Sus scrofa: one gene and its partners. The protein of the gene in region 1 interacts with the protein of each later gene in a pairwise test. Links are inferred from orthologs where the notes say so. Each region holds a gene or a part of one and is shown in the gene's direction. Other genes may lie near its edges.

The links.
Region 2: the proteins of TK1 (region 1) and CCDC90B interact in a two-hybrid assay, tested with the Homo sapiens proteins (2 studies listed by BioGRID and IntAct). The link is inferred for Sus scrofa from reciprocal best matches to the Homo sapiens genes TK1 and CCDC90B.
Region 3: the proteins of TK1 (region 1) and COPS6 interact in a two-hybrid assay, tested with the Homo sapiens proteins (2 studies listed by BioGRID and IntAct). The link is inferred for Sus scrofa from reciprocal best matches to the Homo sapiens genes TK1 and COPS6.
Region 4: the proteins of TK1 (region 1) and PTPRK interact in a two-hybrid assay, tested with the Homo sapiens proteins (2 studies listed by BioGRID and IntAct). The link is inferred for Sus scrofa from reciprocal best matches to the Homo sapiens genes TK1 and PTPRK.
Region 5: the proteins of TK1 (region 1) and transducin-like enhancer protein 1 interact in a two-hybrid assay, tested with the Homo sapiens proteins (2 studies listed by BioGRID and IntAct). The link is inferred for Sus scrofa from reciprocal best matches to the Homo sapiens genes TK1 and TLE1.
Region 6: the proteins of TK1 (region 1) and CRMP1 interact in a two-hybrid assay, tested with the Homo sapiens proteins (2 studies listed by BioGRID and IntAct). The link is inferred for Sus scrofa from reciprocal best matches to the Homo sapiens genes TK1 and CRMP1.
Region 7: the proteins of TK1 (region 1) and GDF9 interact in a two-hybrid assay, tested with the Homo sapiens proteins (2 studies listed by BioGRID and IntAct). The link is inferred for Sus scrofa from reciprocal best matches to the Homo sapiens genes TK1 and GDF9.

Annotation. Positions count from the first base shown.
Region 1 is NC_010454.4:3,792,161-3,795,324, forward strand, and holds the end of TK1 (thymidine kinase, cytosolic), read left to right. Parts: intron 1-1,425; coding exon 1,426-1,515; intron 1,516-1,722; coding exon 1,723-1,842; intron 1,843-1,934; coding exon 1,935-2,111; 3' UTR 2,112-2,664; downstream 2,665-3,164. UniProt on the Homo sapiens protein: Cell-cycle-regulated enzyme of importance in nucleotide metabolism. Catalyzes the first enzymatic step in the salvage pathway converting thymidine into thymidine monophosphate.
Region 2 is NC_010451.4:17,423,610-17,427,109, reverse strand, and holds part of CCDC90B (coiled-coil domain-containing protein 90B, mitochondrial), read left to right. Parts: intron 1-2,550; coding exon 2,551-2,652; intron 2,653-3,500.
Region 3 is NC_010445.4:8,001,353-8,005,501, forward strand, and holds the start of COPS6 (COP9 signalosome complex subunit 6), read left to right. Parts: upstream 1-1,349; 5' UTR 1,350-1,388; coding exon 1,389-1,452; intron 1,453-1,664; coding exon 1,665-1,790; intron 1,791-2,000; coding exon 2,001-2,132; intron 2,133-2,748; coding exon 2,749-2,837; intron 2,838-2,934; coding exon 2,935-2,997; intron 2,998-3,306; coding exon 3,307-3,354; intron 3,355-3,430; coding exon 3,431-3,545; intron 3,546-3,633; coding exon 3,634-3,726; intron 3,727-3,823; coding exon 3,824-3,924; intron 3,925-4,031; coding exon 4,032-4,149. UniProt on the Homo sapiens protein: Component of the COP9 signalosome complex (CSN), a complex involved in various cellular and developmental processes.
Region 4 is NC_010443.5:35,249,372-35,252,871, forward strand, and holds part of PTPRK (receptor-type tyrosine-protein phosphatase kappa), read left to right. Parts: intron 1-1,033; coding exon 1,034-1,165; intron 1,166-1,306; coding exon 1,307-1,432; intron 1,433-3,500. UniProt on the Homo sapiens protein: Regulation of processes involving cell contact and adhesion such as growth control, tumor invasion, and metastasis. Negative regulator of EGFR signaling pathway. Forms complexes with beta-catenin and gamma-catenin/plakoglobin.
Region 5 is NC_010443.5:234,367,817-234,371,910, reverse strand, and holds the start of transducin-like enhancer protein 1, read left to right. Parts: upstream 1-1,294; 5' UTR 1,295-2,593; coding exon 2,594-2,617; intron 2,618-3,381; coding exon 3,382-3,482; intron 3,483-3,550; exon of another isoform or gene 3,551-3,917; coding exon of another isoform or gene 3,918-3,925; intron 3,926-4,094. UniProt on the Homo sapiens protein: Transcriptional corepressor that binds to a number of transcription factors. Inhibits NF-kappa-B-regulated gene expression. Inhibits the transcriptional activation mediated by FOXA2, and by CTNNB1 and TCF family members in Wnt signaling.
Region 6 is NC_010450.4:4,789,675-4,793,174, forward strand, and holds part of CRMP1 (dihydropyrimidinase-related protein 1), read left to right. Parts: intron 1-684; coding exon 685-841; intron 842-3,500.
Region 7 is NC_010444.4:135,181,652-135,185,755, reverse strand, and holds the start of GDF9 (growth/differentiation factor 9 precursor), read left to right. Parts: upstream 1-1,304; coding exon 1,305-1,701; intron 1,702-3,324; coding exon 3,325-4,104. UniProt on the Homo sapiens protein: Required for ovarian folliculogenesis. Promotes primordial follicle development. Stimulates granulosa cell proliferation. Promotes cell transition from G0/G1 to S and G2/M phases, through an increase of CCND1 and CCNE1 expression, and RB1 phosphorylation.

The DNA of each region.
Region 1 (3,164 bases):
GCAAAGACCCTCTCCAAATAAGGTCGCACTCGGGTGCTGGGGATTAGGGTTTCAACATGGATTTGAGGTGTGAGAGGGACACAACTCAACCCAAAATGTAACCTAAAAATGAATGGCAATAAAATCCAACGCCAGCAACATGGTTACCCGTGGGCATCTTGAGATTTTGCAGAAAACCCAGGCAGCTCTGTCCTTACCTTCGATCACCCAGGAACCCCTGCTGGGGGCCCAGGGTCGGTGTTGGGGAGGGGGGCGTGTGAACAGGGGACAAAGTCCGGGTGGAAGAGCTGAGTGCTCTGACCACAGGTGAAGCCAAGGACCCTCCGAGGTCCCCAGACCCTGGTGTGGAAGGACCTGCCTCTTGACGAGGCCTCAGCAGGGAGGGGGAGTGCAGGGGATTCGTTCCTCTCCCACCCCCGCCGCAGTGGGTATCTGGCAATGTCTGGAAACAGTTTTGTGACAGCTGGTCGGGGGGCACTTACTGACAGCTCCTTGTAGGTGGGGGCTGCATTTCTGTGACCCGAGTCCTTCAGAGAAAAAGAACCGCCTGGGGCAGGGTCAGCTGGAGCCTCTGGGTGGGGGCGGCCGTTCCAGAGCTCAGGCCCCTCCAGCCCTGCCAGGGGGCGGTCAGCTCTGGCTTCAGTGGATCCCGCTGCATAGAGGGGTTTCTAACGCCTCTCCTGGTCCTGTCTTGGTAACTTCTCGAACATCCGGCTGAGTGAGGCCTGGGTGGCTTGGAGAAAGACCCTCTAGGCAAGAATAATCCCCACTTCACCCAACCCACAGGTCCGTCTCGACAGATGATGACCAGTGAAAATCCACCAAAGGGTTTTAAGCAGCCTCACCCTGGGCCACTTGAAATGAAATTTGAGTCACCAACTAAGCGGCCTGCTGCAGACCCTGCATTTAGAAGGGTGTGCCGGGACCGTGGAACTGCCACCCCTTCTCAAGGCATCGCATGGCACATTGTTTTTTGTTGGGTTTTAAGTGGCAGGCACACAGCCTACCTCTCAGCCAAAGAGAATAAATTATTTGAGGGTCTTTAATCCTTAACCCCCCCCAAAGCCCTCCCTGTCTTTTCCAGGCTCGGGAATCTGAAGTCATTGCCCAGGTCACAGCTAACGGGTGACCATGGTTCAAGCCCAAGGCAGCCTCTGGTCCAAGCTGTTGACACTGCAGTGGCAGACCGCCTTTCTAGCCGGGCTGCGTCACCCTGGTGACAGGTCCGGGTTCTTGACCTGGAGGGGGGCCTGGGTCTGCTGGGGACATGCAGCTGTGCGCCGGGCAAGGGGCTGGGGCTGCCCAGGTCTCGCGCTCCCCGCCGACTGGGTGCCCGGAGCTGTCGGGTCCGGCAGCACCTTCTCTGTGGCTCCCGGAAGCTGCTGCCCAGGCGGGAGCTGTCCTCACCCCCTCTCCCGCCCCCAGTTCCCTGACATCGTGGAGTTCAGCGAGACCATGGCCAACGAAGGCAAGACCGTGATTGTGGCCGCCTTGGACGGGACCTTCCAGAGGAAGGTAAGGCGTCCGGGCCTGGGACCCGGGAGGCGGGGGGCCGGGGCCGTGCAGAGACGGGCTCCTGGGGCCGCGGACCGGGTCCGCCGGCTGCAGGCGCCGGGCTCTGGGGAAGGCCAGGGCAGGGCCTCGGTCCCTGGCTTCCGTGCTGGGAGGCAGCCTTTCCGGGAAAGGGCGAGCTGAGAGCGCCCGTCTCTGGTGGGACCGCAGGCTTTCGGGAGCATCTTGAACCTGGTGCCCCTGGCCGAGAGCGTGGTGAAGCTGACGGCCGTGTGCATGGAGTGCTTCCGGGAGGCCGCCTACACCAAGAGGCTGGGCGTGGAGAAAGAGGTAGCTGCCCTGCCTTCTCCCGGGGGCGCGGGCGGGCGGGGCGGGGGCCGCCGCGCCCCCCTCAGTCCAGGCACCTGGTGTCCCGTGTCCAGGTCGAGGTGATCGGAGGAGCGGACAAGTACCACTCCGTGTGCCGCCTCTGCTACTTCAAGAAGACAGGGCTGCCCATCGGGCTGGACAGCAAGGAGAACAGAGAGAACGGCCTGGCGCTGGGCGTCAGGAGGCTGTTCGGCCCCCATCAGCTCCTGCAGTGCAGCCAGGCCAACTGAGGCGCCGGCCCGCCGCTGAGCCCCGGAGGCCGCCTGCGCCCCAGGAGGAAGCGGGGGCGGTTGTCCAGCACCAGGAGCTGCCCGCCCTTCCGGCCGAGGCCGGCGGTCTGCTCGGCACACTTCCCTCCTGGGCCGCCCGCTGGCCTCTCTCAGTTCCCGTCCCCGCTGCTGGGCCGCTGCTCACAGGCCGCCCCAGGCCGGAGCTGGCAGCTCCGTGGCGAGGGGTCTGGCCCCGGCAGACGTCCCCTCCGCTCCCCCGGGGTGAGGCTGGAGCCACAGCCGCTGACAGGGGTGCTGCTGGCCTCTTCCCCCTTTGTGGCTTTGGCTGCCGAGTTTCTGTTCTTGCTGGGAAGCCCGAGCCCCCACCTCTGGCTGGCACCGAGCCTCTCGCGCACACAGACTGAGCCCCTCTGAGGACAGCCAGACTGGGGCACTCTCACTTCCCTGTGGCCTGCAAGCCCTTCCGGGGCTCAGCTCCCAGGGCTCCTCTTTTAGGGAAGGGCTGTGGCCTTCTGTCAAGTTCTCTGCCATGAATAACCACCTGGAAAAGTTACTGTGTGGTGAGAGCACATTCTCAAACCGCCTGGGGCTTCCCGGGCCTCGCCGCGGAGAGCGCTGACGTGATTCGGGTGCGGGGATTTCTCTCCAGTTCTTTTTCTAGTTCCGCTGTCTCTTCGCCGCAACCGGTTTTGGCTGAGAGACGGCCATGAGGCGTGTCCAGAGAAGCTTTCCTGGCTCTTCTGTCTGGTTGGGCATCCAGACAAGAAGGGTAGATGGAGCCCGGGGCCCAGGCTGGAAAGATGAGGCTTTGGTCCGTGCTGCCAGCTCGTGCTGCGAGGCCAGAGTTTGTGAACAGACACTTGACAGTCCAGGAGCCAAGAAGCCCAGCTCTGCTGTGCCTCGGAAAACCGGGCTGTGGGCGGCTTGTGTGGAGGCGAGGCTGCACCGCAGGGGGTGCCAGGCTCCCCATCCTCCCGGCTGCTCCCTCCCCCTTGGCTCTGCTTGGTCCCAGGTTCCAGAGGTGCAGTGCAAGGGTCAGACTGATTCCCAAAC
Region 2 (3,500 bases), on another chromosome or scaffold:
CACACCTGTGTCTTCTTACTCTCTCGAAAGGGACCAAAAACAGAAACAACCTTTATTGAAGTCAGTATCCAGAGAGATTGAGGAGGTGAATTGTGTGAAGAGTTATCACAAAACTATGGTAGCACAGAGAATGCAGTTTTGTCACATCTTTCATTGTATAATTACATTATTTGACTGACAGCTGATAGTGATAGGTTGTTAGTGAGACAACTTTTTCCCCATAGAAAGCCCACCATAGTAGAAGGGCTGACTACCTTACTACAATCATGTGTGTTTGGTTAATTTTCATAAACTGGAAAGCTGGAAAGGATTTACATGACTTGGAGAGACTTCCTAAATCACCTAAGATGCTCTAATTTGACCAGTAACTCAAATCTTTAAACATCAGATAATACCATTCACTAAAACTTAAGCAGTGAAAGACACAGTACTGAGCTCTTATCATGTATTTTCTTATTTAATACCAACTAATTATTCTATTTTGCCGTGAAAGAGAGGACCGGAGTTGTTGAGTAATTTGCAAGAGTTATCATTATGCTATGGACAAAAAGCAATTTTATATAAAGGCCAGAATAAAATAAGCCTAACTGTGGAATAATAATTCATAATCTGTTAGTCATGAATTCAGTGTGTTTAAGAATATGTTTTCTATGGTTATATTTTTAATTTTAATTTTTCAAATTCAGGGTTTCTTCCCCAAATAAATATTTCATAGCAGAGAAAAATGGGTTTCTTTCTTACATAAAATTATGTTACATTGTTTCTTGCATAAAATTTTATTACTTTAAAGGTCGTGAAAGAGCAAAAGCTTTATAAAGATTTTTACTATAACCTCCAATTAGTTATATATTTAGAATTAATAGCATTGAGCCGTTAGATTTAACTCAAATTTGTGCATTATTTTAGATAAATTTATTCAGAATCATAACAGACTACTACATCTACTAAAGAAAAGGCCACTCATTTAATTCCCCAAACCTCTGTGATACCCTGAAAGAGCTAGTGGAGTTACTTTTTTTTGCCCCAATCCCATGTCACACCAGGAACCTAAGCTGCTACAGTGACAGTACAGGATCCTTAACCCTCTGTGCCACAAGAGAACTCCTTGAACTACTTTTAATAGTTATTTACTCTGAAATCAGATTTTTAAGTATAATAGCAATGAATTAAAACAAATTTTTAATGCTGCCAAGACCATTTAATCTTACATTTAAAATGTAGGATTGGATGTAGGAATACTACTACTAAACTTTAAGGATTTTGTTTGTTTGCTTTTTAGGGCCCAGCCTGCAGCTTATAGAAGTTCCCAGGCTAGGGGTCAAGTTGGAGCTATAGTTGCTGGCCTATACCACTGCCACAGCAACACTGTATCTCCCACCTACAGATTGAGGCCAGAGATCGAACCCACATTCTCATGGATACTAGTCGGATTCGTTTCCGCTGGGCTACATTGGGGAACTCCACTTTGGGGTTTTTTATTCCACTAGTGATACTGTTCTTGTTTGTGGGTTTTTTTTGTTTGTTTGTAAACCCTTTTTCAAGGTTATACGTTCATCTGCTTTTTCTTTTGATAATGAGGGATAAAAGATGAGTCAATAAGCTACATGATTTTGAATTTAGTGGTTTTATTTTCATTGTAAGGCTGCTCGTTTTTTTTTTTTTTTTTTTTTTTTTTTTAGGGCCACATCTGCAGCACATGTAAGTTCCCAGGCTAGGGGTTGATTGGAGCTATAGCTGCCAGCCTATGCCACAGCCACAGCAATGCCAGATCCGAGCTGCTTCTGAGACCTAAACCACGGCTCATGGCAACACCAGGTCCTTAACCTACTGAGCAAAGCCAGGAAATCAAACCTGCATCCTCATGGATGCTAGTCAGATTCGTTTCCGATGAGCCATGACGGGAACTCCTGTGAGGCTGTTTTAAATCATTTCTACCAAAATGTCCCTCCCTAAAGAAGCCAAAATTTATAAATCTATCAGATGGGGCTACTTTTTCTTTCATAGACTCTTTGAGGTGCCAAATATAGGAAGGATATTCAGAAATTTAAACAAAACTAATTTTTATACTGACAAGTGGTACTTATTTAAGCCATACTTCAACCTATTTTGTCTTATACTGCCTGACTTCCAAGTCTCATTCAATATCCTATTAATTTCTGATGGTAGAAGATCCTTCAAAGCAATGAACAGTTAAAAGCTTTCTCATGTAGATAGTTTTAAAATAAATAAATAAAATTATTTGTTGAAGAACTATTAGAGACAAGTGTAAACTGCATTTTATTGGGACTCTTTCATTGAAAAGACCTGGATATTTGTTTTTCCTCAGTGGGAGATAACATTTTCTTCCTTGAATCTCCTGCTGCATTTACTTTTCATTTTGATATTTCAGAAATATAGGTTTCATATATTTTTATGGGTTTTTTTTTTAGCCAAGAAACATTCATTATGCTTTGTAGCAAGATAAAAAATTCTTTTAAAGTTGCATGAACAATTCCATGTAAGGGCATAGCCTTACCTAGATCAGTAGGTAATTTTAATTTTGCATTCTAGGAAATAACAGTACAACAACTAATGGCTCATTTGGACTCCATCAGAAAAGACATGGTCATCCTAGAAAAAAGTGAATTTGCAAATCTACGAGCAGAGAACCAGGTAATCAAGTCTCAAATTATTATTAATAAAACAACTGATTTCACAAGTGTTATACTTAGTGAATCATAGGACTCAAAGAATTACTTAATGTGGTTAATAAGTAATGATTTACAAGCTTTTAGATAAAAATATACATGTTTAGCCATACCTAATCTTTCTTATGTATATATCATAGTTTCTTGAATACTGAAGAATAAGAGTTGTATTTTATAAAATTTCTAGTTGTTGGGAGTTCCCTTTGTGGCACAGAGGAAATGAATCTGACTAGAATCCATGAGGATGCGGGTTCGTTCCCTGGCCTCTGCTCAGTGGGTCGGGGATTGAGCTGTGGTTAGGTCACAGACACAGCTCGGATCCCACTCCTAGCCTGGGAACTTCCATATGCTGTGGGTGTGGCCCTTGTTTGGATGATGTAATAATTATTTCTGTTACTTAAGAGAAAAATATTCCTGTAATTCAGTCAGAACTTTGTTATAAACTAGCTTAAATATTTTAAAATTTAGAATATCAATTATTTTTTTTCAAGTAGAATACAGTAGGTTCCCCCCTTACTGCTTTTTTACTTGCTACGGTTTTAGTACCTGTGATCAACTGAAGTCTGAAAATCTTAAATTGCACACTGTTCTGAATAGCATGATGAAATCTTTTACCATCCCCCCAGGATATGAATCATCTCTTTTTCCAGTGTATCTATACTGTGCATGCATCCCACTGATTAATATATAAGGAAAAACTATACACATATAAGGTCAGGACTGACTATTCGAGGTTTTAGACATCCACTGGGAGTCTTGGAACATATCCCCCATGGATAAAGGGGGAACCACGTATTAAAATATAAATGTATT
Region 3 (4,149 bases), on another chromosome or scaffold:
CCCTCCCTGCAGGATTTCTCAGGCCTTTACTTTGAGAGTTGCTGGTCGTTTAATTTCCCTTTATGCAGGCTCTTAAATGGAGAGATAGCTTAATTCGCACCAGTCACTATTATCACCAGAAAACATCTCTGGGCAGCAGAGTAGGCTCCGCAGGTAAAGGTACAGGTCTCTACCTGCTTTTTAGGAGCTAACACTTGGGTGTGTTACAGACACACCTAAAGAACCAGCCAAATTGTAGGGGCGACAAGACAGGGTAAAGGCAGTGTACACAACTTGCTCGGGTGTAGGGGTGGGGAGAGGGCTGGAGTGGGCTAGGTTTGCCGGAGGTGGTTTTTTGTTTTTTCTTTTTAGGGCCGCACCCTTGGCATATGGAAGTTCCCAAGCAAGGGGTCGAATCCGAGCTGCAGCTGCTGGCCTATGCCACAGCCAATGTCAGATCTGAGCCCAATCCGTGACCTCTGTTGCAGCTTGTGGCAACGTTGTATCCTTAACCCACTGAGCAAGTCCAGGTATCGAACCCACATCCTCATTGATACTAGTTGGGTTCTTAACCTGCTGACCACAACGGGAACTCCCAGAAGTGAGTTTTGAAAGACTAACGGAGACGGAGGGTAGAGGGAAGTTGGGAGGGGTTAGAAAATGCCAGGGATGTTCTCAGTGCTGTAGGTAATGAGGTGGAAGGAGGAAAGAAAGGATGTGTAGACCAAGGCACTCAGGACCAGGCTCCACTGGCAAACCATTCATTCACTCAAAAATCATTTATGGAGTTCCCCTGTGGCTCAGCGGGATTTGAACTTTTGTGGCTCTGATTACAGCTGTGGCGTGAGTTCCGTCCCTGGTGCGAGTACTCCTGCATGCTGTGAATGCGGCCCGAAAAAGAAATCATTTAGGTGCCCATATGTCAGGTAGTTTTGATCACGTGTTACAGTGATAAAGGCGACAGAACGCCCTTCGGTGGGGATGAGTGAGACGTGTGCAAGGAACAGACACGAGAGCCAATGTGGCTGAAGCACGGCGATCAAAGGGCAGAAAAGCAGAGGCCAGGGCTGGCTGGCGGGCAGGGGTCTGATCTTACAGGGTCTTGCAGGTGGTTAGGAGTGTGGCTTTTACTCTGAGGGCAACAACATGAAGTTTCATTCATGCTGCAGCAGCCTTACAAAGTAGGCAGTCTAATCCCAGTATACTTTAGGACGATCAGGGTGCGGTTAAGTAAGTTGTTCAAGGTCAGAGGCAGGCGAGAGGGCTACTAAGACCTGCCGGCTCTCCCCGACCCAGGGCTGCCTGCGCGGGTCTGGGCAGGCGCGCGCCACGGCCGCACTGAGCATGCGCTGCTGCCTACGGAAGCCGGCAGGGAGGGGGCGGGGCCGACACTGGCGGGCGCGGGGGAAATGGCGGCGGCGGCTGCGGCGAACGGGACCGGAGGGAGCAGCGGGATGGAGGTGGATGCAGCAGGTAACCGACCGGGAGGGAGCGGCTTCTGGAGACGCCCTTGGGGCGCGTCAAGGCCTTCCTGGACTCCCGGGGAAGTCGGGAGGGCGGGTCAGCGGCGCGTTCCCTGGGATAACTTGCGGGAGGGATGTATGGCCCGGCTCTGCTGGCTTCCCCTCCCATCTCCCGGGGGGAACGTGGGACCCGGACTCTCACCCTCTCTTCCAACTGCTTAGTCGTCCCCAGCGTGATGGCCTCCGGAGTGACTGGCAGTGTTTCAGTCGCCCTTCACCCCCTCGTCATTCTCAACATCTCAGACCATTGGATTCGCATGCGCTCCCAGGAGGGGCGGCCTATGCAGGGTGAGTGTTCGGCGTAATTCTCTGGCCTTCTTTTCCTGGTCATCTCCCCCAAACGGTGGTCCTTCCCTTTCCTTTGCTGAAGCCAATTCTTCCGCCGCAAACCACCCGTTTCCCTAGTACTGGGTTCACTTGACCTCAGACCCTCAGGCTATACTGATTTAACTAAGTTTCAGGATTCTTTACCCTCACCTCTTGTGTCCTCTCCTCCAGTGATTGGGGCTCTGATCGGGAAGCAGGAGGGCCGAAATATCGAGGTGATGAACTCCTTTGAGCTGCTGTCCCACACCGTGGAAGAGAAGATTATCATTGACAAGGAATATTATTACACCAAGGAGGAGCAGTGTGAGAGGGGAATAGAGGTGGGGGAGAGGAGTGGGAGTTAAAAAAAGAAAGAAAATCAGAATAGGGAAGGTGGAGAGGGTTGGGGGGAAAAAAATAAACAGGAGATGAGCAGAATGGAGGCCAAGTGACGAGAAGGTAGCTGTAGAGATCTTTAAAAAAGAACATATTTGGGAGTTCCCGTCGTGGCTCAGTGGTTAACGAATCCGACTAGGAACCATGAGGTTGCGGGTTCGATCCCTGGCCTTGTTCAATGGGTTAAGGATCCAGTGTTGCCATGAACAGTGGTGTAGGTCGCAGGTGCAGCTCGGATCCTGCATTGCTGTGGCTGTGGTGTAGGCCGACGGACACAGCTCCAATTGGACCCCTAGCCTGGGAACCTCCATGTGCTGCGGGAGCGGCCCTAGAAATGGAAAAAAGACCAAAAAAAAAAAAAAAAAAGAACATATTTGGTTACTTCCCACAAAGTAAGGAGAAGATAGAAGAGATGACTTACTCTAAACTGAGCCGGGATGGGATGGGGAGAAGCTGGTTAAAATCCACCAGGAGCTTCAAATTAAAGAAGCGATATTTAAAAAAAAAAAAAAAATACTCTGTGCTCTGGCCCTTTCCTCCTCAGTTAAACAGGTGTTCAAGGAGCTGGAGTTTCTGGGTTGGTATACCACAGGGGGACCGCCTGACCCCTCTGATATCCACGTCCATAAGCAGGTATACACACTTCCGTTTGCACGTTGGGGCGGAGGACAGAGGATGAGCGGGAGAAAAATGGGCCCTGGCACTCAGGTGCATCTGCCCCCTCTTCCAGGTGTGCGAGATAATTGAGAGCCCTTTGTTTCTTAAGTTGAACCCTATGACTAAGCACACAGATGTGAGTAATACTGAGCCCGTGGCTACTTTGTCCTGCTTGTCCATTGCTATGCCTACCCAGATTTTAATTCTCATCCTGTTTTTTACTGTATCGCCTCTGTTGAATTGACTCTCCCTTCTCTTTACCAGCTGAGACTTTGGGTGTCATTTAACCTCTAAACTGCATTTCCCCCATGTACTAAAATGGGATAATTCCTACTTGTAACTTGGGGACATAGAAAAACGGAATGCGAAAGGGCCAAGCCTGGTTTGGGGCCCTTCAGGTACGTGTGCTGTTACTAAGAGCTCTTCGCCCATCTCCTCTTTACAGCTTCCGGTCAGCGTCTTTGAGTCTGTTATAGATATCATCAATGGAGAGGTAATGCCATACCCTTCAACTCTCAGACCCTGCTCCCGGTGTTTCCTGCTTTTGACTCTCTCTCTGTGCCCTGTAGGCCACGATGCTTTTTGCTGAGCTGACCTATACCCTGGCCACAGAGGAGGCTGAACGCATTGGTGTAGATCATGTGGCCCGAATGACAGCAACAGGCAGCGGAGAGAACTCCACTGGTAATGCAGGCTGGAGGGGTTTCCTTCGCAGCGGGGGGTGGGACGTGTTGGCCCCATGCCTTCTCAGCCTTGGCCTGACCCTGTGTAGTGGCGGAACACCTGATTGCGCAGCACAGCGCCATCAAGATGCTGCACAGCCGCGTCAAGCTCATCTTGGAGTATGTCAAGGCCTCTGAAGCAGGTAGGACAGGTGTCCCCCTGACACTTGAACCACTTTTTCTCTCCTTCCTGGGGAAGCAACAGTATCACATTAATGCAGCCCTTTGCTGTGCCTTTAGGAGAGGTCCCCTTTAACCATGAGATCCTGCGGGAGGCTTATGCTCTGTGTCACTGCCTCCCAGTGCTCAGCACTGATAAGTTCAAGACAGACTTTTATGATGTGAGTATAAAGCCCAGGATCAGGAGGGTGGGGCTCATGCCACCATTTCTGCATGCAGGACATTGGAGCCAGAGCCCCTGGGAAACTGGTTCTTTGTTTCCTTGCAGCAATGCAATGACGTGGGACTCATGGCCTACCTAGGCACCATCACCAAAACGTGCAATACCATGAACCAGTTCGTGAACAAGTTCAACGTCCTCTATGACCGACAAGGCATCGGCAGGC
Region 4 (3,500 bases), on another chromosome or scaffold:
CCAAATGGTGATAGGGCCTATGAAGTTCAAAGATCAATTTTTATACTGCTGTTAAGACACCTGAAGGAACTTCAAGAGTAATATCATACAAATGAGTTAGGAGATCACTGACAACTTTTTATCAGCGCTAAAGAAATCCATCTCAGGCAACTGTCTATTTATAGTTTTACAAATAATTAGTTTACTACATGGAAATATATATTTCTTTTTTGGTATAGATCATTAGTCTGTAGAATAACAGATAGCCCAGCCAGATGGGCATATTCTCTTCTTCTGGAAAGGGATAATGTGTTCTGTCCCAATCAAGGGGCATTTAGTAAAAACAAGGAGCCATTTCCTCTTAGGTGGAGCCATAGAATGCATTGATTTTACTCTTTGGCACTTGAAAAATCTTAAATGATTAAAACTATCATTCTGATAACTCATATACATTAGAAATGCCCAGAAAACTATGGGAAATGGATTGCTTGCAAGATGTACAGCATGTGTTTATAATGTCAATATAATATAAAAGCATATAAGTTTGAGGCACATATGGTTTTTCTTATTTGGAGTGGAGGAGAGCCAGTCATATAATAGCTGATAAGGTGATGGATGGATGGATGGATAGATAGATAGAGATACACATGCACACCTGGGAATTTTATGCCTTTAGCCTCTCCTACTGATTATTTTTGGAAAATTGAAACAACCCAACAGGTAGCTCATGGAGGATCTTAACCTCAAGAAGTTCTTTCTTACCTTTTTTTGGGCTATCTGTCCTATATTACTTTTATCAACAACATAAAGCAAATTCTTGGCTTGAATTACTACTCAGGCATCAAAATTATACTCTAAGGTTGACTAATAACTAGTTGCAGGACCTTACATTGGTCCAAATCTGTTATTTCATGGCTTAAGCAACAGTCTGGCTCCATCTCCATATGAAGCTGTTGTGTCTTACTTGTCCTATATTACCTATATTGAATCTGCTTGTAAAACTAATTTTTCTTTTAAGTTCTTATGTTTCTCCATCTACCTTGTTTTTTCACAGAGCTACAGGCAACCAGCTGCTTTCATCGTCACACAATACCCTCTGCCAAACACTGTGAAAGACTTCTGGAGATTAGTGTATGATTATGGCTGTACCTCCATTGTGATGTTAAATGAAGTCGACTTGTCCCAGGTTAATGGTTATAGGTTGCTTTTATGTACTTTAACACGACTTAAAGAAGTAGTAATAAAATGCTAAAATCTGCTTTAGTCTTACCATAATTAGAAAAAAATAATGCTCGTTTTCCTTTTCTTTCAAACATTCATCATCTAGGGCTGCCCTCAGTACTGGCCAGAAGAAGGGATGCTAAGATATGGCCCTATCCAAGTGGAATGTATGTCTTGTTCAATGGACTGTGATGTGATAAACCGGATTTTTAGAATATGCAATCTAACAAGAGTAAGTCATTAATCATTTTCTTTTTCTTTCTTTTTTTTTGGCTTTTTAGGGCCACACTTGTGGCATATAGAAGCTCCCAAGCTAGGGGTCAAATCAGAGTTGTGCCACAGCCACAGCAACATGGCATCTGAGCTGTATCTGTGTCCTACACCATAGCTCATGGCAACGCCAGATCCCCAGACCACTGAGCGAGACCAGGGATCAAACCCACATCCTCAAGAATACTAGTCAAATTCATTTCTCTTGTACCACAATGGGAACTCCTCATTAATTATTTTAATTGAGATGATCCAGAACAGATGATCATAAACGTGATGGGGTATAATTCCATTCGGACAAAAGAAAGAATAAAATTAAAGGCATTATATTATCAATTCCAAAGCTAGTAATTGCCTAATGCCTTAGTACTAGAGTAAAAACACATCCTGAAAATAGGAAAGCAAAAAGGCCAGAGGCTGGAGTTCCTGGTCAGTAATAGACTAATGTGTTCCATCTGGAAATCTAAATTCAGATACCCTGGTTCAGTTGAGTTTGATTGCTTGAGCCTGGCCCCTGAGTGTACGTAGACTTATCTCAGGGTTGACTGTATGTTTCACTAGCATTGATGTCCAGCCCAGTAGAGGCATGCAATTGAAAAGTAAGACTCTAGTAATGGTGACAGAGAAGAAGTTTTACCTCAGGAGGAAGGGCTATGTCGGATTAGCCATTATAGAAGGGTCCCATGTCACTATTCCAAGTTCTGCTTAGAAGAGAGAGCCCTTCACTGATTCTCCTCCTATAACCTGTCAACAATTTCATCTTTGTAAATGTCTCAGCATCTGGCTTTTCCCAGATCTATAGCTAGATCCAGTGCTGCTACTACTGGGAACCATTGGCAAAGTAGCAACTTGATCCCAAGGAGTCTTTCTTTCCTTAACTTTTCATGTGTTTGGCAATCAGTGACAAATTGTGTTCTGTGATCAGTGACAAATTGTGTGGGGCCTCGCCTTCAAAAAAATAAAAGTACTAATAAAAACTGTTTAGATCATATAACCACATAGCAAGCAAAATTCGAAAACATTAGTAACTTCCACAGAATTATGCTCTTCTTAAAGAGAAAGATTTCCTTTTTTTAGAGCAGCAATTCTATGTATGTGCATTATTTTAAGTGTGTGATGAGCATTGCCACGTTTCAGTGTTTCTCACATCAAAATACGGTATTTCTGGTTAATAAGTCTCTATGTATATAAGTAGAGAATTAAGTCTTATCCAATTCTGTTGCTCATTTCAGTGGAAAAATAAAAAGGATAACTTCAATCATGTCATAATAGTCATGAATATCTTAGATGCTAATTTAAAGGAATCTCATTATGTCTGCACATCTGTTACATGATAGTTCTAGTAATATTTTAGCTGAGAAACCATAACTGCTAAACTAAGAAAGTGAGATTTGTCTGTTAACTGAGCTGTTTATATGAAAAATATTCTAGGAATAGGAAATGAAATTTGTGTTACATTTTTTGGTCAGCACATTTGTTTATCTTCCTCTATACTTGGTATTCTGAGGCTTTTTAGTGCATGACTTTTCTTTCTTTTCCCACTATCATTATTTAATAGTATTCACCTTACCAGATATTTAGTTTGTACCAACTGGAGGTTGGGTATTATTCTAGGTAGTCCCTTGTTGTACCAAAAGATGCATGAGTCCTTGCCATGTGAAGCCTCAGATGATGCCTTAAGTATGGCTTACTTGTCCATTACAAATTCCTTATTACCTTTTCATTTGAGGGTTTAAGGTATTGATTAAATTATTTAACAATACTATTCTGTGGAAAGTATTTTGCTAGGTTCTAGTGATAGAGATTTTAGGGGGAAAAGAGGTTTTCTTATACCTAAAGAACTTATATTTTATCAGGGAAAACAAAACTTTTAATAACTTTTTAATGATTTCCAGTAAAAAGACCATAAAAGTCCAAGGCAAACCCAAGACAGGTTGGTCACTCTGTTTGGGACTGAGAAAGGCAAGCAAGAGGGAAATGTTGATGGCAAAGGGGAGAGTAGAGTATGTGTAAAGTTCCCATCATGGCTC
Region 5 (4,094 bases), on another chromosome or scaffold:
CAATGCCTTACACAGCTCAGCCGGCCAGAGGGGCGGGGGTGGGGGTACCATCCGAACTATGGAGGTGGGGTGGGCAGGACAGGTTTTTCAGGTCTAGATGCTGTTTATCCCACACACTCTCTCTCTTTGTTTCTACTAATTGGAAACAGACTCGTGGTCATGTTGCTGAGAAGCCCCTAGAAGTCTGAGCAGCTCTCTATCTCCCAACACAGCGAAATCTGGACTTTTAACAGAAGAACCGAAATTTCGCGCCGCGGGCAAAATATCGCATCTGAGACTACGACGCGCGTGCCTTACCCTGGGTTCCTTCCCGCCAAATCAAGGCAGCCCGATCTTTTTGCAAGGTGGTTTGAAATTTTCTAATAAAAACCAACTCCTACCACCTTGGGTGCAAAGGGGGCGTGGGCATTAAAAGCCTAGTCTTAGGCGGCTGCTGTATGTACGCCAGCCAATGAGTTGCTCATGTACGCATTTTCCACCAAGTGCACAGTCCACTTCTCCTGCATCCGCCAAAAGGCAGCTCGAGGAAAAACAATCCTCAGAGAAATTTTTGAATGTGACCTCACTTTCAATAGTAGCATCAAACAGGGGACAAGCACCGAAAGATTCCTTTGGCTCGAACTACCAAAAAGCACCCCTTCTCCCTCATAAGAACCTACGGGGTTAGTCTCTGAGTTTCACTGAGATCTAAAGATTTTCATTAAAGGGAAAAGTGACAAGTGGGCAGCATTTTTGCAAATTCGAGCCCCCAGCTTCGACCGCTGCACGTTGGCCTGTCCCTCCCGCTTGCGCGCTCCCGCGCGTTCCCTTGCTTGCCCCACGTTACTTTGACTGACAGCCCGGCCCCGCCGCTCTCCTTCTCTCCGACCTTCCCATCCCCGGTGCCAATCTTCGCGTCTCGCCGCTTTCCATTGGCTGGTTTCGGCGTCCCGCGGCTCCTTCAGGAACAGTTCCTCGCCGAGCCCGGGAGGACGCGGCTGGCGGAGGGGAGGTGGGGGTGGATGGGAGGAGAGACGGGGGAGACGGCGGAGAGGGAAGCAAGCGGGGCGGGAGAGAAAGGAGGGAGAAGGGGAGACAGCCCGTCCGGTGCCGCGCTGCCATAGGCTCTGGGGAGGTGTCGCGTCACCACCCCACGTTGGGTCTGGCGCATGCGATTGGCTGACACGGGCCTTCCCGCTCCCCCCTCTCCACTCGCCGGGCCCACGTACCCCGCCAGCTCCTCGCTCTCGCCCCCGCCCGCGCAGGGCTGGGCGGGGCCGGCGCTGGTTAGCTCCGGAGTGTGAAACCGCGTGTTAATGTAACCGGCGCGAGAGGCGCGGGCGGCGGCGGCGGCGGCGGCGGTGGCGGCGGCGGCTGCAGGAGCAGCAGCAGCGGCGGCGGGCACCCTCTGCCCCGCGTCCCTGAGGCAGCCGACTGCGCTACCCCCACCCTCGCACGGCCGGGCGGCTCCCTCGCCACCAGCCCGGACCTTCGCTGGCCCTTGGCGATTACTCCGGACTCGCCCACGGAGTTTGCCTGCTGGGGAAGGAGGCCAAGCGTCGGAGCGCACTCTTGCGCTTTTCCCTACCATCGAGTGGATGTCGTTCCCCGGGTCGTGAGAGAACTTTGGAGCGGGCTGGAGCGCCCTTTGCGGAGAGGTAGACGAAGAGAAGGAAAGAAAGAGGGCTGACGGAGAGGATCGGAAGAAGGGGTCCGGAGTGGCCGGGCGGGCCGTGTGCGGCGAGTGTGCACGGGCCGTGTTGCTCGGATGCGCCCAGGGGTCGAGGAGCAGCGGAAGGCTGCGGGACTACTCTCCGCCGAGTAGTCCCGTCGGGCCAAGAGGGTTTGTACAACCGCGGAAAACAGCAAGAGCGGCCCGCACGGGGCGTGCCGAGACGCCTCCCGGCGCGCCCTCCACACTTTGCCCACCTCGTCGTCATCCCGCGCTCCTCCGCTCGGGTTAAGCCTGCGGAGCGCCGGACACGGAGCCTCCCCCGGGGCCCGGACCTCGCCCCTCGCCGCCTCCAGGGACCCTGCGAGCGCCCGGTCTTGGGCGCCTCCCGGACCTGCAGGGGTCGGCTGTGAACGTCGTCACATTTGTTTTGTGGGGTTAGCGGGGGCGCTTGCCACCTGCACCTCCCCGGCTGCTGGCGCCGCGGGGAAAACCCGGCTAGGAGGCGGACCGGGAGAAGAACGGTGGAGAGCAACCCGCCTGGATTTGTTTGCCCGGGACGGGTGCGGCACACGCGGATCGCTGAGGGGAGCGCAGCGAGTCACCGCGCCCCCACCTCCTCGTCCCGGCGGCCCAGGCTCGCGATTTGGAGTGCGGCCCCGGGCGCCGGCGGCGCCCCGCAGGTTCTAGGTGCAGCGGGGCCCGGGGTGCCCTGTGATGTGGCCCTGAAGGTGGGAGCCCGCACCGGCGGGAACAGGAGCTGCTGGGCGCCGAGTGGCCTCTGCGCCCAGCGGAGCGCGCCTGCGTGCGTGGCCAGCGCGCCCCCCGCACTTCCCGCTACTGCCCGGCTTCTCAGCTTAATTTTCCTCGGCGGGATTAAAGTTGGAAATTGAGCGGAGAATTGAGTTGCCCGGGAACGGAGCCGCGGCCGCCGCCAGAGCGATGTTCCCACAGAGCCGGCACCCGGTGAGGCGCGGCTGGCTGGCTGAGTGGGGGACAGGGGGTGAGGGGTGGTAGGCGCTCTTGCTGTGTGGTAAGGAGATGGGTGGGTGCTGCATTCTGGCCGAACCCCTGGCTTGGGAGGTCGAGGGCCCTCCTCTCCTGGGTTGGGGAGTGGGCTGAAACTCTAAATTTCCCCGTTTGCTCTGTGCCCCCTCCTACTTGAGGTCTAGACTGGGCGGGTGGGGGCGCCCGGAGAGACTGGGGTTTCTTTCCAGCAGACACATCCTCCCCCTTCCCAGAGGCGAGTAGGGCGCCCCCACCTTTGTTTCTCGTCTTGCCTATTTACATGTCAATGCGGCCCCCTTTCCAGCAATGCTGGAGGTGGCCCCGGCGGCTCTGGGAACGGGAAGAGTTGTTTCTCTTCTCTGGTCCCTGGGGTCATTATCGCCCCCGTGAAGGAGGGGCCGGCGGCGACAGCGACAGTCTGGCCCAGTTCTCGGCCGCCCGCCAGGGAGCCCCTATCCCTTCAACCAGGTGACCCTTTCGCACTTAACGCGATTCGTCCTGGAGGCTAGAAGAGGCTCCAAGCCATTTTAGAAGCATCGGATCTGGGGAGGTCCACCTTCCCCCTGCCCATAGTGAAGGGCAAACTCGAGTCCGTAGCTCCGGTTTCTTCCACTTCTAACTTCATTTTTTGTTTATGTCCCACCCACTCTTTCGTCCTCTGACTTACTTCTTTATCCCTCCGCCCGCATCCCCGGTCCCTCGGTCCCCCTGGTCGTCTCTAGACGCCGCACCAGGCTGCAGGCCAGCCCTTCAAGTTCACTATCCCGGAGTCCCTGGACCGGATTAAAGAGGAGTTTCAGTTCCTGCAGGCTCAGTATCACAGGTGCGTGTCCGTCCGTGCCCGGTGAGTGGTCGCCCCGGCAGCGCCCTGCCCCTGGTCGCCCATCCCAGTGTCGGCGGTGGCTGTACTTAGTACTTGCGTCCAGGCGGTGGCGTGTGGAGTCGCAGTTAAGACCTGTCATTCACATTACCCACTTTCCTGGCTGTTCCTGGGCCGCCTCTTCTCTTGTCTCCTCCTCCTCCCATTGTTTCCCTTTTGCCCGTTTGCTGCTGTTCCAGGGAGCCTTTTTTCGTGTATTTAGGAGTTGCATGAGAACTGTCAATATTTGCACTTCATTTATTTATTTTGCAACAGGCTGAGCTGAAATCTTGGTTCAATCGATGCCCCAGCTCTGGAGTGCAGGTTCAGGGAGGCAGAGCCGGTGTTGAAATCGCTGTTTGCCATACTAGAATTGGGTTCTTTGAGACAAAGTCCGTTATGGAAAGGTAGCTGCTTTTAGCTGTTCCTATCATTAGTGAGGGTGTGGATATGTGTAGGGTAAAGCTCACCTGCTTTGGCCTCATTGTGGGTTGCATTGGGTAGCACAAGGGATTTGAGTCCCATTTATGTCCATCTCAGCTTTAGTCTCTTTATCTAATGAAGAGACCTGCTTCA
Region 6 (3,500 bases), on another chromosome or scaffold:
CAGGCCGCTGGAGCCCAGAGCCTGCCTCCACTTGCCAGCAGGGTGGCCTCGGGTAGATGCCACCAGCTGTCCGCCCATGTCCCTTTGGCACTTTCTCTGCTGCAGAGATTCTCACTGGAAAACCTGAGAGGGCCTATGGGCTTTTTGTTCTGGAAGAAACCCAGAAGCTGGACTTTCTGGAAAGTGCGTGTTCTAGAAGCAGCCCTCCAGCAGGGGGGTGGCGGCTGCACACCCAGGCCCCTTGCCCCCGGGGGTGGACGGCTGTGAGGCTCCTGGGGTCCCCAGTGCTCTGAGCCGCAGGCACCCAGGCAGCTGTCCTGGTCTTCTCTCTCCGCCGTATGTCACGTTCTCAGACCCCACGGAGCTGTTTTCTGGGGTCGCCTCCCAAATCAGGCTCTTGGACTTGGTTTTTCATTTGAAGATTGACTTTGGGCAGAACCAAGACAGCGCCACTGACCATCTGTAAAGGAGAGAATAGGCAAACTGAACACTGAAAGTGGTCAGAGTCCAGAAGGTGGCTGAGGGGGACAGCGGGGTGCCGAGCGCCTCGTGGGTGGCGGGGCCCTGGGCCTTGAGCGGTGGAGCCTGGGAAGGACAGGTGATGTGTTGCCGGGCCAATCTTGCTTTCGTGTGCCAACATTTGCCACCAGACAGTCTCAGCTGTGCTTGTGTTTGCCTCCCAAGGCCCCCTCGTCTTTGGTGAGCCCATCGCTGCCAGCCTGGGGTCGGACGGCACCCATTACTGGAGCAAGAACTGGGCCAAGGCGGCAGCCTTCGTGACCTCCCCTCCCCTGAGCCCGGACCCCACCACGCCCGACTACTTGACCTCCCTGCTGGCCTGGTGAGAGCCTGGGGTGGGGGTGGGGGCTGGGCGGGGGTGGGGTGAGAGCCGGGTCGGGGGGGCCCTTTGGGATGAGGGTTGAAGGGCTCATTCTGACACACTTGTGGTGGTGCCCTTGGGCTGGGTGCCCCGGGAGAAATGGTTACAGCAGACCCTTTGGGGGCCTGAGGGTCTCTTTCATTTTTTTTTTTTTTAATTATTTATTTATTCATTGGGTTGTTTTAGTGCCATACCTGTGGCACATGGAGGTTCCCAGGCTAGGGGTCGAATCAAAGCTGCAGTTGCCGGCTTACACTACAGCCACAGCCACACCAGATTCTTAACCCACTGAGTGAGGCCAGTGATTGAACTCAAGTCTCATGGATACCAGTCGGGTTCATTACCACTGAGCCACAGCGGGAACTCCTGAGGGTCTGTGTCATTCAGTAACTTCCATCCACATTTACGGGTTACCTCCTGGGTGTTCAGTGATATTTAAGCCCCTTCTGTGCCCCTAGCGCTGTGGTTTATTGGGAAATGCCCAGAATTAGGGGTGTGAGGGCAGCCTCCTGCCTCAACCACTAACTGTGTGTCACCCCGGCCCTGTCACGTAATCGGTAAGGTCTGTGCCTCGGTTGGCTCATCTGCAGAGTGGGGAGAACATCGTACCTACCTCAGAACTGGGTGGGCGTCAGTGTGGGGAGAAGGCCTGGACTTCCAGGCTCACAGTGGCACTGCGTTTAGCTTCGCTTCCTGCGCACAGTAGGAGCACAGCTGCTTTCATCCTTCTCTATCTGCCAGCCTGAGGGAGGAACACTCCAGGCGCAGCAGGCTGAGTGGTGACGTGTGCAGTCTGCTCTGGGGGTGGAAGTGCATGCTCGGGAGGCTTCACGGAGGAGGTGACATCTAAAACCTCAGTCGGACCAGGGGCCTCCAGCATCCTCTCCCCTCAAAGGGAAACACAGGTCCCCACCCTGATGGTCGAGGCGGACCCTGATCTGGCCTCACTTCCCTCTCCTCCTGCCTCAGCTCCCTCGGTCCAGCCCACTGGTCTGCCACCTGCACCGCAGGCAGGATGGTGCCCCAGGACCTTTGCACTCACTGTGCCCCTGCCTAGTGCTCTTGCCTTAGTCATCCTGTGGTTTCCTCTTCACCATCTTTAGACCTTTGCTGGAAGATTTCTTCTCAGTGAGAGATTTTTGATCTTAAATTGGCAGCCCCACCCCACCCTAACCCCCCTCCCCCGACCGACCATCCGTTCCTGGTTCCCCGGCACTAGAACGCCAGCCGATAAACAGAGGACTTGGGCTCTGCTCACAGCTGCCTCCCCACTGCCTCAGCCACGCCATTGACACAGGACGTGTGCCGCACACTTCTGGTGAATAAAGAGTGAATGTCGCATCTAGATATATTTTTGGACATTTCGATGGTTGCTGATGCACCCCGGGCTCCACATGGAGGCCAGCCTCTGCCCTCCCTGAAAATCCCAAAATAACACTCCGATCAGGCCATCGATTCAGATGCCGGTTCAGGGCTCATCATCCAGCCCCAGAAAATGTCCTCTCCACAGCCCGAGGGACACAACTGCAAAGCTCGTGCACTTGGGTCACATTGCCACGAGCAACGAAGAGCACTTGGTCCTGCGGGCACAGCCCGAGACACCCGCCAGCCTTATGCCCACAGCCTCACTTACCAAAGGAAGACCAGTGTCTGCACTTCCTCTTTCCCCGTGTGACCTGGCACATCAGTCCAGGGGTGTCACCTTCCTTCTGGCACAAACATCCCCGACTTTGTGAGACACCCAGGCCCCTGCTGGAGGCTGCATGTCTTACTCACTTATTTATATATTCACTCATCCATTCGTCTAGGCATCCACGGGCTGTACTCAGGGTTTTCCTTCTTCCTGCTTTTTTAAACTTTGTGATAAAACTCACATAACATTCACCATGTACTCAATTTTTTAAAATTATTTTATTGATGTGTAGTTGGTGTAGAGTGTTGTGGGAATTTCTGCTGCATAGGAAAGTGACTCAGACACACACACACTTTTTTTCTGCTGCACAGGAAAGTGCTTCAGATACACACACACACACACACACACACACACACACACACACTTTTTCATACTCTTCTCCATCATGGTCCAGCAACGGACGTGGAAGGCAGTTCCCTGTGCGGCTCGGGAGAACCTCGTTGTGTGCTTATTTGATACATAGTAGTTTGTATCCGCTAATCCCAGCCTCCTAATTTATCCTCCCCCGTTTCCCTTTGGTAACCATAAATTTATTTTCTATGTCTGAGAATCTATTTCATTCTTTCTTTCTTTCTTTTTTTTTTTTTTTTTGGTCTTTTTGCCATTTCTCGGGCTGCTACCCTGGCACATGGAGGTTCCCAGGCAAGGGATCCAATTGGAGCTGTAACCACCGGCCTACCCCAGAGCCACAGCAACGCGGGATCCAAGCCGCGTCTGTGACCTACATCACAGCTCACGGCAATGCCGGATCCTTAACCCACTGAGTGATGCATGCATCGAACCCGCAACCTCGTGGTTCCTAGTCGGATTCGTTAACCACTGAGCCACGACGGGAACTCCATGAGAATCTATTTCTTAAATAAGTTCATTTGTATCATTGACTTAGATTCCACATATAAGCGGTACCATATATTTGTCTTTGTCTGG
Region 7 (4,104 bases), on another chromosome or scaffold:
TCATTCCATTTCCAAGGAAGGGAGGCAGGAATGTTGCAGGTGATGCCGTTTTTTGTTTTTGTTTTTGTTTGGAAAATGCTTTCTACTTAAGGCGGCTACTGCCGCCCTGTACAGCTGACTGACTTTTTCATTTGATGCAGCGTATCTGTGAATGTTCCGTACACGGAATTGCTGGTCATATGTCATTTAAGACCAAGCTCGTTTTCAGCAGTTTGGTTGTGTTTTATAACCCTTCCTAACCAAGGGCCAGGGAGGCTGAACAGGCGATAAACCTAAAATTTACAGATATACCTCGGTTTTATCAGCCTAGGTACTGAATAGACGGCTTCTTTATCTTGTACCTTGAGTGTACTCAGCTATTTAAGGTGCAGCCTTGTCTTCTTTCTCTAAAACATTATCTCTAACCTAATCTCAGACCAGAGGCAAGAACATACTTGAAACAGATGAAAACACAAATACCCTAGAAAATTCTCCCACCTTCTGGACGATCGATGAAAAATAAAACTTTGATTTTCCAGCACCTGAAAATATCTAAACCTTTCAACTAAAAGTATGTATAGATAAATGTGGAAAGTAAAGACATCAAGATACTACATTTTAAAATGTCAGGATCAAAGGTGACGTCCTACTTTTTAAAGCATGTTGCAGTCTTCCAATTATACATCCTTCCTAAGCTCCTTTTCAGAACTAGGGAACTTAACAGTTCTCTGCTCTCTGGAATTTCAGTGCCAGTTGTGACTTTCACCCTCCGAAGTAACTTGCAGTAAATAATTATTCTAAGCACCTGGAAGCGGAGAGGTGGTGAGAATGAAAGGAGTAAACCTAATACCATAAATTGCATACCAACAGATCTGCGTATCATCATGAATAATAAATTAGCTTTTCCGCATGTCATGGGAATTTCAGCAAGCACCTAAGAAACGTTTTAAGAATCCTAATCTCTCACAAAAAAATTGGTGTTTTTAAGGTCATTCCTTAATTCCTCTTAGCCTTTCAGCTGCACAGCTAGTCGATTAGTATAGCAACTTGAGATGTTTAAGTAAATCTCAGGGGAAAAGGGAGACCGAAGCTGAATAACCAAGTAAATCTGTATCTAATTAGGACAAATTGAATAAATAGGGTGTTATAGCCGACACACAGCTGATAAAAATTATCTTCAGCTAGGCATCCTTGAGGTCTGATTACAGAAATGAACCTAGCCCACCCACACACCTAAAATTTATTTAAGAAACCAACCTTTGCTCTTCCTGGTTTTTAAGAAGACTGGTATGGGGAAATGTGTTCCCTGCTAGTTCTTCCAAACTATGGCGCTTCCCAGAAAATTCTTCCTTTGTTTTTGCTGCTTTGCCTTGTTCTGTTTTCCTGTTAGCTGTGGTTCTCAGGCTTCTAGAAGAGAAGCTCACTTTGCAACTAGTGCTGTGTTGGAATCTGAGGCTGAGCCTTGGTCCTTGCTGCGGCCTCCAGATGAGAGACACAGATCTGGCCTCCCTTCCCCCCTCTTCAATGTTCTGTATGATGGGCATGGGGGGTTGCCCAGGCTGCAGCCAGACTCCAGAGCTTTGCGCTACATGAAGAGGCTGTATAAAACATATGCTACCAAGGAGGGGATCCCCAAAGCCAACAGAAGTCACCTCTACAACACTGTCCGGCTCTTCACACCCTGTGCCCAGCATAAGCAGGCTCCTGGGGACCAGGTGACAGGTGTGTAGGAGTATATGGCTTAATGGGTGGAGGGAGACAAAGGGTCTGCATTTCAATTGCTGAAAGAAGCTGGGCCTTGCTCCTTGACTTGTGTTGTACTTTGTGATACTCAATATCCAAATACAAGCAAATGCGGTACTTGATCTTGTTGTTTTTGCCCAATGCTCCCGTGAGTTAAGGTGGGCTAATATGATGCAATTTTAGAGCTAGAAGAGACTTGGAGTTCCTGTTGTGGCTTGGCAGTAAGGAACCCATCTAGTATCTGAGGATATGGGTTCGAACCCTGGCCCCACTCAGTGGGTTAAGGATCCGGCATTACTGTGAGCTGCGGAACTGTAGGTCACAGACGCAGCTCCAGTTCTACCCCTAGCTTGGGAACTTCAATATGCCGCTGTGGCCTTGATAAAAGAAAAAAAAAGACTTAGTGGCTCTAAAGGCTGGGGAAAGTGCTGACAGAGGTGAGCGTGTTGTCCAGGATCACAAGTCAAGACTGGAAATGAGGTATTTTGATTTCCATTTGCTTATTTTTCCTATTCTACCAAATGCTGGCATGGAAATGTGCCTAAAATCTCAGCTGTTGGTCTGCTTTATTAAATTGGATATTTTCCTCATGTTTGTTGCTTTCTGTGAGGAGAAAGCTTAAGTCCCCATGTGGAACAGTCGATCCTTAGAAGAACAAAGTGTTCATCAGTGATCTTACGTGAGTGTGAGAAGGGAGCAGCGCTATTAAAAGGAAAAAAAAACTATATTCACTAACCCGAAACTGAAAACCCTTGTAACCCAGCCGTTCGTATGTAGCTATTTAAAATCCCCCTTCCTTAAAGTCCTGTATTGTTATAGTAGGTTTAGAATCTCCATTTGTTGTCAATCTCAAGTGTTCTAAATCAACTTAGACAATTAAGTCTTCTTTGATTCAGTTGTAAGGACTTAAGAGTGTTTTCTTAACAAGTCTGGTGTTTGTTTTGTCTCTTTGCTTTTTCTAGGGCCACTCCGCAGCATATGGAGGTTCCCAGGCTAGGGGTCGAATCGGAGCTGTAGCCAAAAGCCTACGCCAGAGCCACAGCAACACCGGATCCGAGCTGCGTCTGCGACCTACACCACAGCTCGTGGCAGCACTGGATCCTTAACCCACTGAGCAAGGCCAGGGATCGAACCCGCTACCTCTTGGTTCCCAGTTGGATTCGTTAACCACTGAGCCATGACGGGATCTCCACAAGCCTGGCGTCTTTATTATAGTTTTTTTTAAAGACTCTCCAGGAGAAAAATGCTGGGTTTTTTGTTTTGTTTTGTTTTTGTTTGTTTCAGCCTTCTCTATGTTTGGAGCAAATTATTAAGATTCTGAAACTTCAGAGCGTAACAATTTCCTGTTTTAATTCACCACCACCCAAGCTGTTGTGAATTTCTGGTGATAAAGTATCCAGCTGTAAGTGCTAGGACTTAATTACAGTACTAATTTCCTGCGTTTTCTTAACCTCCATCCCACCCCCACTTTTGAGGCCTGAGGAAGTGGGAAAAGAAAGGGTTCACGAAAGCACAGTCTGAGGAACTAATTCCTTGGTTTGACTTTTGATTTTGTTTGATTTGTCTCCAGCATTACCGGTGGATTCTCTTTTTTCTTCTCAGGAACCCTTCCATCAGGGGACCTGCGGTTTAACCTGGATCGTGTTACTGCTGTTGAACATTTACTCAAGTCAGTCTTGTTATACACGTGGAACAACTCCATTTCTTTTCCCTCCCCTGTTAAATGTGAGTGCAGCCTGGTGGTAAAAGAACCAGAGCTTTCTAACAAGACTCTGCCTAAAGCTCCATACTCATTTACCTTGAACTCACCATTCACATTTCAAAAGAAACATAAATGGATTGAGATTGATGTGACGGCCATCCTTCAGCCCCTAGTGGTCTCCAACAAGAGAGAGATTCACATGTCCATCGACTTTACGTGTGTGAAAGACCAGCTCCAGCATCTTTCAGCACAGGAAAGTCCATGTAACATGACTCTTCTGGCAGCCCCCTCACTGCTTTTATATCTGAACGACACAAGCACACAGGCCTATCACAGGTGGTATTCCCTCCCCTGGAAAAGGAGGCCTTCCCAGGGTCCTGACCAGAAAAGAGGGCTGTCTGAGGGTGTACCATCCTCTCGTCACCGGAGAGCTCAGGACACTGTAAGCTCTGAATTGAAGAAGCCTCTGGTTCCAGCTTCATTCAATCTGAGTGAATACTTCAAACAGTTTCTTTTTCCCCAAAACGAGTGTGAACTCCACGACTTTAGACTGAGCTTCAGTCAGCTGAAGTGGGACAACTGGATTGTGGCCCCACACAAATACAACCCTCGCTACTGTAAAGGGGACTGTCCCCGGGCGGTCGGGCACCGGTATGGCTCTCCGGTTCACACCATGGTGC